Caenorhabditis elegans: one gene and its partners. The protein of the gene in region 3 interacts with the protein of the main gene of each other region in a biochemical or structural test. Each region holds a gene or a part of one and is shown on either strand. Other genes may lie near its edges.

Region 1 (4,359 bases), on a different chromosome or scaffold from region 3:
CCCCATAAAAAAGCATTCCGGGATGTAGTAACTCATTGTCTACGTAAGTGACCCCAAAAACTTCTTATCGCTATACGTCTACGTATTAACTTCACTGACAGGAGAATACTTTTGAAGGTGTTCAGAAAATATTATTCTTTCCGTTTAAAAATTCCGCTAAGACTGTCTGTCAAGATATGAACACTTGAGACTTTTTGCAACAAAAAAAAACCAAACGCTTCAAAATACTGCAATTTTTATTGTTTTGATAGATTAAGAAGCGATTCAATTTGTTAGTGTAGCAGATAAATATGCTATTTTTTCTATTTAGAATTTAAAAAAATTAACAAGTATGCTGAAAAATTATATTTAAGGTTTTAGAAAACTTTTAAATTCTAAAGAAAATTGCTTTAAAAAAAGTCAATTAGACAAAATCATTGAACACTTATTTTTTCATAACTTTGATTTTTAACTTTGAAACTTCAGTTTTCCAACTTTTAAAAGCTGTTCAAATAGAGAAAACACACTATATTAGTAAAACAATACAAGTTTTATTCATTCTCGGAAGATTTCAAGATAAACAAGAATCACATTTTCAAACTTGTGACTTTCAAATTTTTCAGACGAATTGAAGTTCACAACGGGATAAATACAAAAATCAAGAATTATAGTTGAATTGAATAACTACGCAAAGGAGATTAAGACCCGACATATGAGCTTGGCGCAGTTCTATTTATCAGAAAAGTTCGTGGGGACTTTGTTTCGTCGTCATGTCGATGATTCCAACTTCCTGAAAAATTGTATTTTGAATTGAACTTTTTAGTCAGAAAAAATTGTGAGTAAAATGTAGTTATCTCAAGTAGATGATTCATCCTACAATTTTGTTTGAAAGTACTCACTTCGAGTTCCTCTTAAACTATTCTTTCTGGTCCATGGGAAGAATAGTGCTCGGAACGTGGAGAGATACTCATTGGACATGGTGCAATAGAGAACGAAGCTAACAGAGCTGTACAACAGCGTCAGCATTTCCATCAGATTTCCCACTGGATCGTAATACCGATTTCCGAACTCTTCACCGTAGATAGCCACGCACAAGTTAAGAATACCCATGGGTAGTTCTACCTGGAATCAGACATACGTTTCATGGTAATCATAGACAAAATAATATAAATAATCGTAACAATACAGCAATCACATACGATCAGACATTAAATAGTGACTAACCATTACACATAGGAGTAGAATGATGACGAGCATTCGTGTTGTGCGCGGTCTGGTCGTCAACTTTCTTTTTGCTTTTCTCTCGGAGTTGGTGCAAATGTTGGCACCTTGTGTACGCTTCCAGTTTTTACGCCTTCGTTCTACGCTTTTCAAAGATCTTATAAGAGCAATGAGTAGTATTGAGAGAATTAACGACGGAAGTAGTTTGAACACAATACCAAATGCCCAGAAAACTGCGGACACGAGAAGTGGACTCTCTTGATAACTGAGGTCGTACAATGGACCTTCCATTTCGCATTGCAAATCATAAGCAACGTGGTCACGAGCGACAATTTTAACCTGAAACATAGATGAAATCAGATTCGAGATATGAAGATTAACTACACAAACCTCGGATATGAAAAACAATGGAAGACTGATGATAGGAATGATGATCCAAATGATAACGTTTGCTGCGATTGCTGGCTGGCATTTATAGATGAATCTATTCGCTTGAATTGGAAACTTCAGTGCACAATACCGAAACACTGCGACAACGATCGTCGTTGTGAATGCAACTGAAAAGTATTTGAGTACAGTAATATGCTTGCCAATCTAAAAATACTTACTTGTATGAAATACTGTATTCAGGTTGACATTGAAGAATCTATATCTTGTAAATGCTTCGGACCATAATAATTGAACACTGCAAAAAACTGGAACATTGTTTTTTTTATTTGATGCATGACGTACCATTGATATCTATAATACTCAAGCAATAAGTAAAGGAAGTAATTGGTCGCTAGGAGCCATTGTGCAATGGAGAGACCTGTGAGCAGGATGTTTATTGGGGTTCGCATCCGTTTTCTGGAATAACAGGTACATTCATCCGTAAAAAATAAAGAAATATATAACTTACCTTGTGAGCACAATAATATTGAAGACGTTTGAAGCGGCTCCGAATATACAGATAGAAATTGAAAGAGGAATATGAATTTCATCGTAGTACTGCAAAAAGGACTTGTCAGTTATGGCTCGCGACGAGACATTTGTTGCATTTTCACGACCCGACAATCCGAGTTCCGTCCATTTCCCCATTTTTTCACTCTTTCACGTTTCGGAACGAGCCCGAATAGGGAAGCAAATATGGGAAAGCAAAAAAGATTCCGGTTCAAAATGCTGGAAAAGCTTCAAACGTCCATTCACAACCGGATTATCCCAGCGACAATCTCTAACAACGAGATAGCAGGAAAAATTGGACGACAAAATAAATATTCGTTCCAGTCAAAACGGAGTGGGAGGGAAAGGGGAAATCTAGTGAAATCAGTGTTGGAAGTTCCGCCCACTGTGTAGCGCGTGCCCCTGTCTATCAGCTAATTATTTTTCAAGTTGTGTGCATCGCGTGTCCCCCCAAATGACACCATACTGATTCACTGGTGCCCAGTCAGAAACACATAGATGAGTCTCTGAAAGACTAACTCGCAGTGTGAGGCCGTAAAACGGGTTTACGATCGGCTCCCAATAGAGTCTCGTACGCAACTAACACCCAAAGTACACGTGCAGAATTGCAGAATTATTTAGGTCATTTGAGGAATGGGACACTACTCCGAAAATGGGGAAAATGTTTGAAACTGTTCATATGCCGCTACATTAGGTCCTGATAGGTTTTGTTCCCCCAAAATGTTTTAATTTTCTAAAATTAAATTTTCCACCTTTCAAATTAAAAACAAAAACAAAAGTACGGAACAAAGCATTCGTTTCTCCAAATCGTTCCAAAAAAGTTCACGTTTTTGTGGTTAATTGTAACTTAGAAAATTAAAACATTTTGAGGGTAACAAAACCCATGAGTACCCTACAATAAATCATAATAGCAAACTTTTCGAGTCCAATTTGACAAAATTTTCCAAAATTTACATTCGGAGTTGCTTGAAATTTCTCAAACAGTCCAAACTTTTAGAAAACTTGACAATTTACCAAAACTTTGATTGAAATTTTTTGAAAAATCGGAGCATTTTTGAAGTGTTGCACGATTATATTTGACTATTATGAATGTGATTAAATAATATTCCCACTGATGATACTCCAACTTTGATAGTTTCACATAAGTGTTTAAACCAAGTGAAAATTATATTTTCGATGTAAATTTGTCTAGACAGTGACTTTTGTCCTATTATACAATTTGAAATTTCAAGGGTTCAAACTTTTGAGGTTGCTTAAAAAAAACGTCCATGCTTTTTGATAACTTGGTAATTCACCACAACTTTTACTGAATATTTTGAAAAATCTAAGAATGTTTGGAGTGTTTCACAATGATATTTGTTCATGTCAGACTATCATGATTGTAAATTCAAACCCCCCCCCCTCTTCACTGATGTTACTTTACTATTAATAGTGTTTATAAGTGCTTTAAAAACGTTCAATGTTCTTGAATATTCAAAATAGAATGTTGCTTCAACACATCTAATCTCATATCTTGAGACATTTTGCTCTCCGATTAGTGATAACAATTAATTTTTCCTAAACTGTTCTTTGGCAAATATCAAAATTGAAACAATGATCCTATGGCTTCTATCACAAATTTGCAATTTTTCCAAATTTCCAACGCGTCATCAAAACCACCTCCCGAGATTTTAATGCTTTGAACTCACCATGGCAAACATGTGGATATAGCATTCGAAGTATGTACAGATCAGTGTGTCATTCATTGCTGAAAAGCTGTCATTGTGTTCTATGATGTTCTCCATCTGCAACAAAAGACCTGTGTTGTTTTCAAAGTTATGCAGGGAGAAGAACAAGAAAACGTGAGGAAACGGAGGTGAAGGCAACAGAAAAAAGATCAGGAAAAACCTTTTGACGTTATATAAATTATTAAATCATGAGCATTATATAAAGATTTCTGGAGTATAGAAAGTTCCATACCTTAAATGAGTTCAAAATTCAAGAACAGTACGTAGAAATGATTAATGTCTAGTCTCGGGAACTTATATTCCCCTGGCACGGTCTACCGTCATATAAGGTTTTCGCAGTACATTCTGACAAATTTATTGTTGCAGAAAGAAAAAAAGAAAATTGAAAAAGACACGAACGCAGCTTGAGATAAATAATTTTCGAATCCGGTACACCGTCATTCTCCTACAAAATGAAGGAAGGTTGACTGAATAATTAAATTAATGTTTTCTT
Region 2 (7,535 bases), on a different chromosome or scaffold from region 3:
TACTTTATTGGACCATTGCTGTATTTCACAATGAAATCTTGAGCATTATCATCCAAAAACGTGAATTCAAAAATTGCGGAGAAAATATAAAACTATATAAGTCTGAAATAATCAAACTTGGACTCAATTAACAATTTTCCGAGCAATTTTTAGTGACACTTAAGTAAAACTAGCCAAGCTGAAATGAATTGGTCAAATGTTAGCAACCCAAGAAAATGAATACAAAAGAGATCGCAAGAATCGGGATGATTTTGGAGGGAGATGACCAGTACTACTTTTAGACTAGACAATTTGTAACTAGTAACTTTTGATTATGGCAGGCAGGTGAAAAATAAATATTAGAAACGAAACAAAAAAAAACAAAACAGAAATGAAGCGTTCAATTCATAATGATATTGCAGTTCTTATCAAATAATACATGGTATCGAAAAAATGCTCAAATTAACAAAATCCATGAAGATGTGCAGTAAAGATATATACAGAAACATGATAAAGGTTTGACGTGTTTTCCGTTATGAAGGTGCGCTTTGAAGCGAAAGTCTGTTTTGAGCACTTGTGTAGATTACTGTATCTTTTCGAGCAGGAGCTGCTTGATGTGGTGCACCACTTTGACTCCGTTTACTCCATCGGCGAGAACTCTGAAACACAAATTTTTGAAACTTTATGGAAACTTTATTTTACATACTGTATGTTTGAGTATTATAGTTAATTACTAAAGAAAAAATGGATGTTTCAAATATGAACGTCAAACTTTCGGTAAATTAACAAATTACCAAAACAGTAACGAAACAGCTATATTGTTTAAATATTATTGATGGAAAGATAATTAAACTGTGAAACTTGTTTAAAAAATTTTGTCCGCTTTCCACAGTTATCATATTAAAAAAATTTGCTTCAAATTTATAAACTACTCTATTTAAAACGCATTAACCCCAGTTTCCAATCAGAACAAATTATGTTAGAACCAATATTATCAAGAAATCAAAAAATAAATCAAATAAAAACTCTAAGAGGTTGGAGATTAAGTATATTGGGGAAAATGGGTAAGGTACATGCAAATCAGTCCGGGGAGAAAATGAAACTGCACACGAACTAAATGCGTTTCTAGACAATATTATTTCTATTTTCCACACAAAACTTACCACCGGGTAGGTTATGAAATTCGAAATCGTCATTCGCTGTAATGGTTCTTTTGAAAACAATTTACAAAGCAGTATACCAAAAAGCAAAAGCATAGTAAAGAAATATGAAATTGTTTTCAATTAATCGAGAATGTTCATTAAAGAAGAATAATTAATAATGAATGTACCGATTTACTTTTTTTAAAGCTTACCCTCGCACTTAACAGAGCAGTACTGGCGTCCAAACTAGTTTTCCTCGTCGTACCATCTCTACCATCCCAATCACTGACCATGCTCCTGAATGACAATTTTTAGAAAATTTGAACAATGCAGTGATAGAATTACTGAGGTGGGTACCTTCCAACTTTGAGCCACTCCATCCATCGACTTTGTCGCCCGCAAAGCATGAGGACACACATTTGACGAAATCGGGCTCCGAATAACGAGTAGATCACGATGTTGGAAGCGCTAAAGGTTATTTGTTCATACATACAATTCAAAAACCTTGCCACACTAGGGCTTAAGTTCATTTATTTTTCATTCAATAACTCTATTTGAAAAACGATTCAGCATCATGCACTTCCAATTTTATAACCTCTGTGATATAAAATTGGAAGGTGGTGTTTGGTATAAAATGTTTACTTGTTCATTTTCAAAAGTTTGCGTTGATGTTGAGGATTTTAAACTTTTAGATTGAATGATTTATTTCACCGAACTTGATTCAGACTTCTTTGAAAATTTTTTTGAAATTACTTAGGGTCATTTTCAGTGTTTCAAAGCATCTTAAAATCATGGCAATATTTGGAAAACATTTCGAAAAGACAGATTGAACCCAAAAAGTAACCCGGAAAAGTTTCTTTTTCCATACTAATGTGCTCTCTGCCACTTTCATGTAGAAACCGATTCTAAAGTTTTTCGAGCACACAGCTTCTAACACGTTATAATTACTAAAACTTCTTACCTGTTTAAACAAATTAGCAAATTTCCAATGGGACTCCAAAATCCTAAGCTCACTTCGAACACCGTCTCAGCCAAGTTGTTCACTGCTGCTACTACGTTGAAGATCAAGAAAGTGAGCACCATAGCGATGGCCATAAGAGTGCATCTGAGACTGTTTCTGAACTTGGGAGACAAACTGTTTTCTACTGTTTTTGAATTTTGTCGAATCGAAAAAAAAGAGGGAGAAAAGTTCTGAGCGATAGTTGTTTTCAGATAATAAAAAATAACAAAAACATGCAAAAATCAAAAAAGCTGGTTCGGTTCTTGTAATAAACGTTAGCAGTCCATGCTTGAAATAAGAAAAATAAATAATCATTAAAAAATGTAAATCGATGTATTTGAAAATTTTTAAGAAACTAGAGAACCGAACTTAACATCAAAAAACTGGTGAAACCAAAGTTTAAAAAATAATTAAAAATAAAAATGATAAAACCACACCTCCGATCTTTTTCTTCTTGATTATTTTTTCCTCCTTGCATAGACCTCCGAATCTTATACGCCTTGTGTACAGCCTTTACCACAAACACATTCAGTATAATCATTACTGTCCATGGAATCAATAACAGCGCGATGAGGTACCCAAATGTTACGTAGTACTCTTTGTAGTACTTATTATCCCGCAGAAATGAGGTTCTCAGTCGACCACAGTCATCGTTGGTCAACTCGAAGAACATTGGTGCCTGAAGATGACTTGTATCACGGATAGTCGCCTACTAAACTTATTACGATGTTCCTCAGTTTGCAAAGTAGTACATTAATTTAGAACATTTAGAATAACAATCCATATAGTCTTTTGAATCAGAAAATAACACAAAAAAAGAAACTACCAATGTTGTATTCACAACCTAAAAGTTTTGCGTGGTTCAAGTTGGCCGTAAAATTAAAACAAGATGAAAAAAGGTAGGGATTTTGTATAATTGTACCTAACTCATTTTTTTTAAATTAAATTTTGAGCTAAATATCAGTGCTGTGCGGCTTGCGCCGAGAGCCGACTTTTTTCAAGGGCCGCACAGCACTGCTAAATATTGAAAAATCTCTAAGTTATTCATTGAAACTAGGGGAACCTAAAAAGCGTATTGTAAGTTTTCTAGTGTTTTTGAGTGTACTTTTTTTCAATTTGTAAAATTACAATCTGATGGAAAATAATTTATAAAAAACAGCGATTTTCGAGTTAATATTAAATATTATAAATACTGGAATTTCAAGCTCATCTGCTTTTCCTCCACAGAATTTTTAATTTTGTGATAATGTAAATTACGAATTAATTTTTTTTCAACTTTCATGTTTTCCCCGGTGTCTTAGAAATCAAAGTCAGTAGCTCTTGTGTTTTGATATACACACGCAAATGTATATTTTAAAAATTCTAAAATAAAATTGAACATTTTCACACAGTGATCAACTTATTATCAATGAACAGTGTGCTGACATGTTTAATATTCTGAATGCTTGAATGATTTTAAAACTGGGGTCACAAACTCTAATAGCATTGATGTTTGTTTTCACAAGAAATTTTATTTTAAAAAACCTTTAAACTACAATTATCGTAGCAACAGACTTCCGTAATATGCAAATTTGATATATTATAAAAACATTACTTTAGACCATAATAGTCAGGATACGAAACTTTAAAACGTTGTGTGTATTTCGAAATACAAAATAAAAAATTGACAATTCTTGTACTTACTTTGAACAATATGCTAAAAACCGTAATCGCAATAAGTATTGTTGTTGCTCGGCGCGGTGTGCACCAAATTTTGCTATGAAGCGGATAGTTAACAGCAAGAAATCGATCCACCGTCACTGCAACACATGTCCAGACACTACCACATTGTGCGATATTTGATATGGGTAACGTCCAAGGAGTTGATCTCCAGAAGAAATGACAAACCGCGGTGTCCCCGTGACCCTGAATAGTTTATTTGAATTATTGCTAACATAGTTGTTTTTAGTGGTGTTCTGAAACATTCATATTTCTGGAAACATAAATTATACGCAGTTTCTAAGACATTAGAAAATTATTTCAGACCTTGATGAAACTCGAAGTTTTGAGAAATATTAAATCCCTCTTCAATATCATAAATAACTTTTTTCATTTCTCTTTCCGTGCTATGAGCTTATCGATGAATAAATTGATGGACATTTCTTCATCTCATTACAAATTCCACTGAATATCAACCAGTTATCTACGCTCACCTGCAAAACGCAACCTTGGAGAGGTGAAAAGATCAGAGCACTGAATGAAAGCAGGATAAGATCGAAAACCGATAATCCGGCAAGATATACGTTGAGTGATGATCTGAAGTTAAAAATATTTTGTATTTCTATGTATCCTTATTTGCTCTTTTTTCTTGAAATGAGTATTTGAACAGACTACCAAAGAAAATTAAAACTAAATAAATGGGGAACAATTTGATGTCATTAATTTTTCAAAAAGATTAATACAATCAAAAAAAATCATAAAAATGTCGTCAGTTGTACATGAATTAAAATGTTTATTAAGGGCCAAGAAAATTTGAAATCACTGTTTCAATTGAATTGTGCAGCAAGAACAAATTGAAAGATTTATTTGAATAGTTTTTGATCATTTTTTGAAATGAATAGCAGCCTAAAGCTATAGCTCGTTTTTGACTAATGTGAGGTAAATTTTTATAAATATATAGGCTAATAAATATTTATTTTTAGAACTAAATAGCGTATTTTTATCAGGGAAAAACATTTGGTGTTTCCCTAACTTTATTTTTGATTTACTTGTTGGACAAGACTCCTTCTTTATTCGACAAAAAAGGCAGAAACATAATTTGTGAAAAAAAAAACTGCTATCGTTTTTTTTTCATATAAAAATTATTATTTTCCTGTGAACCATTTGGGGTACAGATATACACGCATCACATATTCATTTTTTTAGAAATAATGATTAAACATATTACCTATCCACGTTACTGTGTTTGTTAGAAGATATAGACGCAGAAAAATGAAAAAGTTTCCCTCGTACACGTTTCCGTAAGCCACGTGACTTCGTCGTCCTTTCTCAAAACGTTCGAAGTCTTTTCGTTGCGGGGAACAGATTTTCTTTGCGTCTCTTATATTTTCTAACTTAAAAAGTGAAGTGGATAGGTAATTCGAATTCAGTCCTTTCTAGATATACTCTCACAAGTACTCTTCAATAAAACGAACCTCATTTGTTTCCTAGTGAACACCACAATGCACATTACCGCAGCGCCGGCTCCCAGCACGCAAATTGTTGGAATGGCAAGCAGGTAAATATATGTGCTAATGTAATCGACCTCCGCAAAATTAGTTGGATAGCTGCATGTTCCTTTTGTACTTCCAGAAAAACCTGGCTGATCCGTAGTGACCAGTGTAGAATTATTAAGAAGCGAAATAACTGTCGAGTTCATAGCCAGAGGCCGAAGTGGTGTGGCACACACTGGAACACGATAAAAATTGGTTTTAGAAAGAAAAAAGGCTCTAACTAAGAGATAATTGAGTTTTGGTTGAAACGAAACAAAAAAGCGAAGACGGAGCAACCAAAGTTCAAAAGTTGAAAAAAAGAAGCAGTGACGTAGGGGTCTATTCAAATTTAACGATTAACATACATCCTTGAAAATGGTATTAGGTGACTAAATTCTTCAATATAAAACTTGTAAAACAAAACGAATATATATGAAACTTCGGAGAAAGTAGGAAGTAAAATTTATGGTATACATACTAACACAAAAATGAACTTGTAATTAGTTTATTCGAGCGAATAATTAAATGAGAACTTTTTTTCAAAATCAGAGTTTTGGTTTGTTAAGAAAAAGAAAGTAAACTAAGATAAGAGTGAAAATTTAAAACAAAAACACATAGTTGACAATTTCAGTAAGATACGTTTTTGTTACTCGTACTTTCAAAAAGTCTAGGAGAAAATACACTTATTTTCGAAAATTTTGAACAAAACCATCCACTAATTTCTTAAGTTTTTCTTTCTTTTCAAAACAAAAAAACAGTTGGATCTTCAAGACTAACTAGTCTTACTTTATTGATGCCTTACAAAATGGCTTCAAAAAAGTGAGTTCTGGTAAATAGTAGGGCATCAATGAAAAGACGAAGCAGAATTGAAATATACTACTAGTCATTTTTATGATGTTCGACTATATATAGTATCAAGAATTTGTGAATAACTACTGAGAAAAAGGGGACTGCATGGTCAGTAATGAATATGTTAGCGGAGAAGTGGAAGCCAAAAAGTCGTGAACGGCTGGTATCATCACGTAGCTTTCACAAAAACAAAGGAGGTTCTTTGAATAAGCAATGATGATTGAAGAAATGTTATTTGATATTTGAAACCTGTTCCAATTACGGGGAATAATAATTTACGAAAACTCACTTTAAATATGATTTGTCAAAATACAAGATTAGTTAAAGAAGTATGGTTTTACTGAGATATTGTACCCAAACCAAAATCAAAGAGCGATAAAGACTTGTTTCTGTTTAGAAAAAGAGTTTGAAAATTGGATTCTTTGTATTTTTAACTTTTATATGTAAAATAATACAATGATAAAATTTTTTCAAACGATTTTGATCAACTTATTCATTCTAATTGTAGATATACTCACTCACCAAAATGAAAAAAAGTTTAAAAAAAAAGAAAATTAACATGATGTCATTGTAATTTCCGGATAAAATATATACTTTAAATTGAAGACTTTGAAGAAAAAATTCATATTTTTTGGCAAGCTCTAGTTGACCATTCACATATTTCATAATTCATAGCTCAAGGACATATTTTTACACTCGTTGTTCAAACGAGCATTTTCTTGGAAAAAACATTCGATGTATTTTTGGAAGATGTATTCACTCTAAGAAAAACAAAAATATCGAAGTTCTAAAAGTGAGCTCTTGATATTCTTGCGTATTCATTTTAGCGGAAAAGTGAGCTTGACTCAGATAGTCATTATGTGCAAAGTTGTGTACGGAAAAATAGTCTTAAAAACTATAACGATAATTATCGAATTAAATTGAAAATGAAGGAAATGGATATGAAAAATACATTCGTGAACTTATAGGAACTGCAAAAAAAGCAAGAGGTGGATTATTCATTTCATACTTATTTAAAACGAATAAATACTAAAAGTGGAAGTAGAAAAAAGTTCACATATCGAATGAATCATGAATGAGAGCAAACGTTGTCTCGGGAAGACTGAGAGCATTTTCAGCTACGAAACCCTCAAACATGGAGTCAGTATCTCACGCGAAAGATCGTCATCGAACCGCGTCGGTCATGGTTCACAAAATGAAAGGAATAACGTAAAGGATATGGGCAAAAATCTATGGACTATCTGAGAAATTAGGGAAATGAGCATAGATGACGGACAATCCGGTTTTTTTGTTGCGGTAAGTTGAAGTAAAATACAATACTATCAATCTGATAGT
Region 3 (7,775 bases):
CTTTTCCCAAAATTTTCATACTTCCTGCCACGAAATGATGTAGCTATATATATGAAGTTTGGGTTTCCCTATAAATAAAATAGAAATATAGTGAAAACATAGTGGCAAATGATATTGAATATGCTATAGACTTGGTAGAACACATTGAGTAGTTTGATGACTCGGACGTGAATAAGTAATTTGAAAAAAATAGCTTCCGCTGACTAAGCCCCTTTTAGAATTGCACAGCATTCTTTCAGATTTTCAATAATTTAATAATTTAAAATGACGATTTCGTCTTGTTTTGCACTACTTGTAGTATTTATAGTGCTTCCCAAATATCTTGAAATGTGTAATTGAAAGCCTGCGGGTTTAATAGAAAATTAAGCAGCATTTTTCTTTTTTTGTAGATGCTTTTCAATTTTTTTGGATTTTGTGGAGATGTTATGTTCTTTAATATTTATTCAAAAAAGGAGACAACTGGTAAAGTTAAATTTTTGCATCAAAACTTTTCCGAATAGATCTGTGGTCTTTTTTGGTAAATTGCCGAGTTTTGGAAAATTATAAAATTACCAAAGTTATTAGAAAAATAGTCCAATACGAACAATTTTTTTGATTTTTCATGCCCCAATCCGGAGCCCACACAAATACTTTTGAACTACATAACCATTTCCTCAATTTCCCCACGTACAAGTGGTTGCAAATTGTGCATTTCCTTCTCCTCCGAGCAGAAGATTGTTTGGATGAGTTGTCTGGATTATTTTTGGATCAGGAGCAATTTTCTGTTTATTAAAGAAAAGCGCAGAAAATAACACGAAAAAAAAGGCTTGATTTCTTGGTTCTTATTTTGTGCATGTTTTAGCGAAATTGCAAAATGTTGACCGATCTGATTTTCATAATTAGGAAAATGTTAAGACTTACTTATCTTTAGTGATTTCCCGAGACCTACGGATTCGGATTTTATTTTTGCAAAAAAGGAAAGTAAAATGAATAATTTCAATAATTCATTTAACTGTCTTTAAAAAATTTGAGCACTTGTTCCAATATTAAAAGTGTTCTATCATTTGCGGGGTTCCCAAAAAATCCTGCTATTGTTTTTTGTGGGATTTAAACTTTTTCAGCTCTTCAAATCAATAGGCTATTGGTGCATATATTGTCTTCTGACGTTTTTTTTCAGTTTCTATATAAAATTTTTGTACTTCCTTCTAATTTGACAGAATAATTCTAAAATCACATATTTGAACTGTGGGCGCTGAATTTTTTTGAAGAGCATGAATTTGAACCCGCAGCGACGGGTCTTTATTTTACAATACAGACGTTTTCCAAAGTTTCCCGGTTTTCCCCGAATATTCCAAAAGTTTCTAGAGTTTCTAGAAGGTTCTCAACCTTTCCTAAATTTTCTAAAATAAATTCGAAAGCCAACATCTACGCAAGATAATTTTTCAGTCGAACTACGGTAGTTTTCAATCAACTTTATCTAAAAATAGCCGAAAACCCCCATTACCTCCTAGTTTGGTATTCCAAAAGATCAAACTTATTGGGGTAGTTGGACCCCCATCCATCTTTTGGCACGTTTCATTCCCGAAGTTCCGTCATAAATTCGATGTCCCCCTCCACCTAATCATTGATTCGTCATGCCTTGTCAGACAAAACCCACGTCTTCAGCTTTTTGGTCGTACCACAATTTTTTCTCCAATGATTCCATCATCATTCCTCATTCCCCAGCTCGTAAAGAACTCAATAAAACTGTCCTCTTCTTCCTCAACCCATTCCTACTTATTCTACATATATTCCAACTTCCAGTGTCCATTCCATTCTCCTTTTTTGTGCTGTCTCCTTATTCTGTTTCCTTTTTTCCCCTATTCAACATCATTCCAGTCACATTCATTTGATTGCGCACTAGGCTCCGCCTGCTCACGCCTTTCTTCGCAAATTCATATTTGGATCTCAATATTTCCGCAAAAAATTGGTAGGTTTTTTTTCGCTTTGACATCAATAGATCTAGTTGACGTGAAAAGCAAACTGGCAAAAATGTTCTTTGAAATTCATGAAATTTGACAAAAAGTTTTGGTCTAACAGCAGTATCTTGAGGCCACAATGGAGCATAACCAGAAAACGTGGTGTATCTGACTGTTTTTTTTTCTGGAAAATCTTCAATTTTTTCGAGGAACTTCTTGAAGATTGTTGTTGTTTGGTTTAGTCTACGTGACCATTTGTAGCTGCCATAGTTATTTTCATTTTTCGTTTCAGAAATCGGAAATTGGTTTTGCTTGAAAACTAGCGAAAAGTGGGCGTCAAACGATTATTACTAAACACATATTGTTGATTAACTTCTAGAGTTTTTATTGGAGTATTTGACGTTAGCCATTGCAACGTCATTCATACAAGTATTTATATAAGACAATGTACATTTTTTCGTTCATAATTTTCTTGAGGTATGTCTAGTGTCTAGTGTATCAAATTTCTAGATATGTATTGTGGATCTAAATTTAGGGTATCTCCAAAGAGTTATACAAGGTTGTTTTCCAAATTAGCACCTCTAAATAATCGAACCTACATGATTTGAAATTGCTTTAAAAAAATTTTTTGTTTGAAAATTTACCAGTTTTTCAAAACATTTACTAAACATTTATTCAATACAGTAATGCATTTCAAAGCTTTTTATGACTTGAAAAAGCTATAGAGTACATAAATCTAAGCCCAAAAAAAAAACCGCAGACTTGTTTTTTATAAATTTAAAAAATCTTGAATTCAAAACACGTGTTCAATTTTGGCTTCTTACATGTATTGTTTTTAATAAATGTTCCGATGAAATCTGCAAGCCGATTTACTAGACTTACAAGAATAATTTCTGACTATTCATTGTTAATCTATAATCTTCTTATCATGTTACATATTATCTAGTTAGTCATTTTCTTGTCTTGTTCTGTTTTCAATTTCACTCATTTGCTCTCATATTTCTTTTTCCTGAATTGAACCTTGGACGCTCAAAAGCTAATCGAAGAAAAATTGCCGAGATTCGGGAATTTTGATTGATGTTGTCGAATTAGTTGTTGCTTGTTCGAAAGTGACAACATCAGACAAAAACACACACGGATTTTGAATTATTACCTATCCATGTTCCTTTGATTTTCTATTAAATTGTCCTTTAAGGTTTCAAAAATGTTCGGAAAACGTAGGTGTAACCTGAAGAGTTAGGAGGAACGTCTATTTATGGTCCATCCAAAAATAGTTGTTGTTATTCAATTTGCGGCACCGAATCTTCAGATATTCGAAAGTTAAGAAAAACAAGAAGTTAGCTTTTAGGACTGAAAGACAGCTTCCTGCAAAAATGTTCTTCTTTTTATGGAAACTTGAGAGCCAAGTTCAAAAGATGAAAAGTTAAGTGGGCGTCTTATTTGTGTGGGCAAAAGAAACTGTAAATACATTTTTAGATTTAGTATATATGCAGGACTACTTTTCTTTCTTGTTATAGTTCTTGTATAGCATCGTCGTATGCACGCACGTCTTCAGGAGTATGTTTTGTATTCATGTTTTTACAACTTTGGCAGTAGTCATGACATATTTCCAAGGAACGTAGGTTACCTTGAAGGCAGGCAGAATATTTTCAGCATAACATGGAAGATTTAAGTTGTTGTTGAATTACGTAGACAACAAAATAACATTTTGAGAGTTCTTTCTTTGCTAATTGTATTTACGTCTCCTATAAAAATTGAGCATAGAATAAGATCATTCGTTCAGATTTTCATGCTTCTTGGATCGACTTATAAGTGTACCTTTATATTACGGGCTACAGTAAAATTTCCTTCTTTTTAATTCAAAATCTTCATTCAAACATCTAGCTGCTACACAACAGGGGTGTGAATCAAGGGCTCGAAAACTGGAAATGCCTGATAAATATTTTGCAAATTTTAATATTCCGATTTGGAAGTCGCGTAGTAAAATGGTTTTCAAGGAGCTTCGAGGTCTTCAAATGTTCTTTTTTTTTAGAATTTCAAGCTTTCACGCACTTGATTTACACTCCTGCTCCCTGACTCCATGACTGTTTGATGAGCTCTTTTGAACTTTAGTGGTTTCTGGCTTCTTCAATAGTCCAGACGTAATAAAAAGTGTCCTTCTTTAGAAAATTAAAAGTTGGAATACTTTCCTTAAAACTATGGGAGAAACTTCTCTTACTCTGAGAATTAAGAAACTGTTTATCACTATTTAAAATTCCAGTTGAAGCATCGTGATCACAAAACTCAGAGCTTTACCACAAATCCAGAAAACAGAAAAGAGTTCTTGAAAATTATAAAATCTTTACGTGGGAATCTGAATACGTAGAGAGCTCTGGAAATTTACTTCCAGATAGGAATTTCTATCATTACACCGGGAAAAATATATCAAAGAACCACCATATTTTTTTATAAAACTCTTCAAAATGTAGTACGTGACTGTAGCCCAACTACTCAATTAATTCCAATTGCGTCATTTTTCCAAAAAGGCATTTCTCAAAATTTTCTCAGGATTTTCCTTTTCAATCCATCATATTTTCCAATTATTCTCAGATCAAACCACGCACCATGACAATTTTTCCACATTTTCCAATCCAATTTTTAATCAAACTGATTCTGATAACTCATATCACACCTAATAAAGTAATTCTACACCACGAGTTTGTACGCACAAATCTACAAATTGTGACCAATATCCAGTGAATTTCTTAGTATTTTTGCATGCATTTTTAAGCACCTCCAACTGTTCTTCACATTTCTTATTATTCCGTTCTTTTTCTTTTTTCTCTGCTGGGACACATTTTCAGCGCCGTGTGACGTCATATAATTCATTGAAATTTTAGAGTTTCAATGTGGTATTAGAATTAAATGTATTTTTGCTGTACAAAGAATATTCATTTTCAAAATACTTATTAGGTTTCATTATGCCACACTACCTGACTGATCATCTGTTACAGTTACCTATGTGATGAGTTTTCGTGATAGAAAATCCGGAAAAAGACACGGATGTGATTTTTGACTATGCTTAATCCTGAGAGACATCCATTATCGCAAACAATAGAACCTAAAAGAAAAATTAGAGTTTAAGATAAATGTTAAGGTTATTCAAAAAATAGACTTTTGATCTTATTTGAAATGGCATGCGGAAGAAACTATGAATGAACGAAGTTTATGACAAAGATCTGAATCCTACGCAGTACGATAATTTTCCTGAACGAAAAACAGTAGAAAGCTTTCAAATGAAGAACATCCAAGCACATACTGTTCGCGTTATTTTACTTTGAAATGATCTCTAAAGGCCCCCAAAATGCTTACCTGCGTGCCTCTTGGACATTTTGTGATAGTTTCGATGATATGTATTTTTGTGCCTATGAATAGGCTAGGTGATAGATTTCCTTGTTTTAAGACAAACACTTCCAGCAAGCTTTTGAAACTAGACTAAACTTATCACAATTCTAATTTTATTCCTAAGATCGCATTGTCAATTCACTTTCCGAAGATCATCTCGTCCATTAAAAGATTATTCTTTTTCACAGTGTAACCTAAACCTTGATTCATTAAAACATGAAAATGTAAGCAATAGATTAATATTAATCCTAATCTTAGACTAAAGTCTGATATGTGTCGTAATAATACCCCTTTGGTATTTAGTTAAGGTTTTTTGAACTGAAGGTTTAAGTATAAATACCTAAGAAATCCACTCTTACAACATTAGTTTCAGCTTTTGAATTTGGCAAAGTGGTGAGTTCAACTTTTGACTCTGTCTTATTCATTAGAAGTTTTATTCTCCATTTTGAAAATCTATCAGCTTCTGAAATCTTATCAAAATCACTGAATTCCAGCAATTATGGAGATCAATTGACAATCTACATACATGAATAGGTAGGCATTTTTTGCCTACACTCAACAAAGTTTATGACCACGTTCGAGACAGTAAATAGGTGATTTACTAATTGAAGTTAACCCGTCACTACCGTAACCCTAGAGACCAATAGATATAGACACAAACTAAAAACCAAAGGATTATATTTCATTGAAAACCAAAACGTCTGTAATAATTTCTTTAGACACATAAAAGAAGCTCGACTAAAAAATATTAGTTATTTTAGAAGCTTAAGTCTATAATTAATCCCTTCCGAGGAGGTTAATGTGAGTTTGAAGTTTTAATAAGGATCTTTTATAAATTCGTATTGTTTACAAACTTATAATTTTTGATCCATCGGATAACAGAACATGGATTCAACGCATAATATCTGAAATTGACAAGTTTGAAAAATTTGGCTGGCTCTAAAGATTTAGTTCTGGTGTTTTTTCCAGCTATCCTTTAAGCTTCAGAAATTTGTTTGGAGAACCATTGATTTTTGTTTAAATTTCATAGAACTACTTCTAACGGACCACCAGCATAATTTTGAACCCTTGACGTCAGACCACACCCACATTTCCTTCTTTTCCAACAGAAATTATGCAAAATTTGAAAGTTCAAGAGACTTCACCACTCAAATGCTCATATCGGGTGTCCAATCAGCTCGTATAATGTTCAGAATAGTTCTCATGTTTCATTACTTATTATAAAAAAGGTCTTTCGGTCTTTCACTTCTTACGTGGGGGCTCAATGTCTTCCAGGAATCGGGCGCACCGGTCTTGATGTTCTCCGAGATATTTCTTTGCATTATTGATACGTTTTTTTAAATTTTCTTTCTTCTCTCTTTGACGTGCGTTTTTGTGTCATTGGATATTTAAATAAAATATTACGATTAGCCAATAAATAGTATTTACCGTATTTTTAATTAGTCCCAGGGTGAACAGTATAAGAGAATAATTGAAAACTTTTTAATCAACTCAATGATAATTTAGAATAATCCCGATCAATTTTCAATCTCCAACCTTTTCCGAAAACTATTCCACACGCCTCATTGCAGATGTTTTTTTTTGAGAATTGAACCAAAATGTCTAGATAACAAAAATCAGCTTGCACAGGAAATATTTAGCACGTCAAAGTTTTCAAAAATTACGTCAAAATGTTGAAGATGCGTCAGTTGAGAAACATTGGTGATTGAGTTTTTGAATAAAAGGCTTGAAGTTTGTGAAAACGGATGTGCGTTTTTGTTTTTTAGGAAACCTATCACTTTTAGACACCAGTGAAATGTTATTTCCTCTATTTTTGGAGAATTATTGAAGTACAATTGTTTCATGGTATTTTCCAACTGAACGTCAATTTTTTTTTAAACAGGTAAACCAGAAATGCCAAAAAAGCAACCAAAAAAAGTGTTCGAATTTCGTTTTCAGGCGAAACAAAAATTAAAAAATTTTGAGCTGGGTGCGGCCAAACTTTGGGCAATCCCGGTTTATTCACCCTTTGTTTAAGTTAATATTGATAAATTACTTGTCCTCTAATTTTTTAATCCAACCATTATCAACGTCACACTGACTCCACCCCTTTATCAATTGTTCTCCGTTTCTTTTAAAAGCACCTGCTCAACCTTTTCGTCGCATAATTTTCCGCTTCAAGCTCCCCCTTCCCCTTCTTCATTATTTCTGCAATTTTCAGACAACTACAGCGACATGAACGCCTTCTCCTCTTCCCTTAAAACATTCATCTTCTCCTTGCTTTTTGCCACGTTGCTTGCACTCACAGCAGCTCATCCACCGTCATCTGGTGAAGAAATTGCTGAGCAAGAAGAGAAGAATATTGCAAGTCCAGATGAACTTATTGTAAGATTTTTAAAAATTGAGAAAAGTTATAAAAATAAATGAATGTTTCAGCCGGAAATTGTCGAGCAGCAAAACTTCTGGCCACCAGTG

The links. The genes of interacting proteins can lie anywhere in the genome.
Region 1: the proteins of flp-4 (region 3) and egl-6 interact in a test that uses a peptide from one of them, tested with the Caenorhabditis elegans proteins (one large-scale study listed by BioGRID).
Region 2: the proteins of flp-4 (region 3) and frpr-8 interact in a test that uses a peptide from one of them, tested with the Caenorhabditis elegans proteins (one large-scale study listed by BioGRID).

The regions. Positions count from the first base shown.
Region 1 is NC_003284.9:5,930,686-5,935,044, reverse strand, and holds egl-6 (G-protein coupled receptors family 1 profile domain-containing protein), read right to left. Parts: upstream 2,460-4,359; 5' UTR 2,278-2,459; coding exon 2,099-2,277; intron 2,047-2,098; coding exon 1,933-2,046; intron 1,886-1,932; coding exon 1,809-1,885; intron 1,758-1,808; coding exon 1,591-1,757; intron 1,540-1,590; coding exon 1,204-1,539; intron 1,102-1,203; coding exon 879-1,101; intron 770-878; coding exon 678-769; 3' UTR 513-677; downstream 1-512.
Region 2 is NC_003284.9:8,695,800-8,703,334, reverse strand, and holds frpr-8 (G-protein coupled receptors family 1 profile domain-containing protein), read right to left. Parts: upstream 5,519-7,535; coding exon 5,295-5,518; intron 4,417-5,294; coding exon 4,314-4,416; intron 4,027-4,313; coding exon 3,805-4,026; intron 2,801-3,804; coding exon 2,559-2,800; intron 2,227-2,558; coding exon 2,083-2,226; intron 1,590-2,082; coding exon 1,467-1,589; intron 1,419-1,466; coding exon 1,334-1,418; intron 1,179-1,333; coding exon 1,143-1,178; intron 639-1,142; coding exon 513-638; downstream 1-512.
Region 3 is NC_003280.10:10,047,104-10,054,878, forward strand, and holds the start of flp-4 (FMRF-Like Peptide), read left to right. Parts: upstream 1-1,764; 5' UTR 1,765-1,948; intron 1,949-7,521; 5' UTR 7,522-7,535; coding exon 7,536-7,685; intron 7,686-7,736; coding exon 7,737-7,775.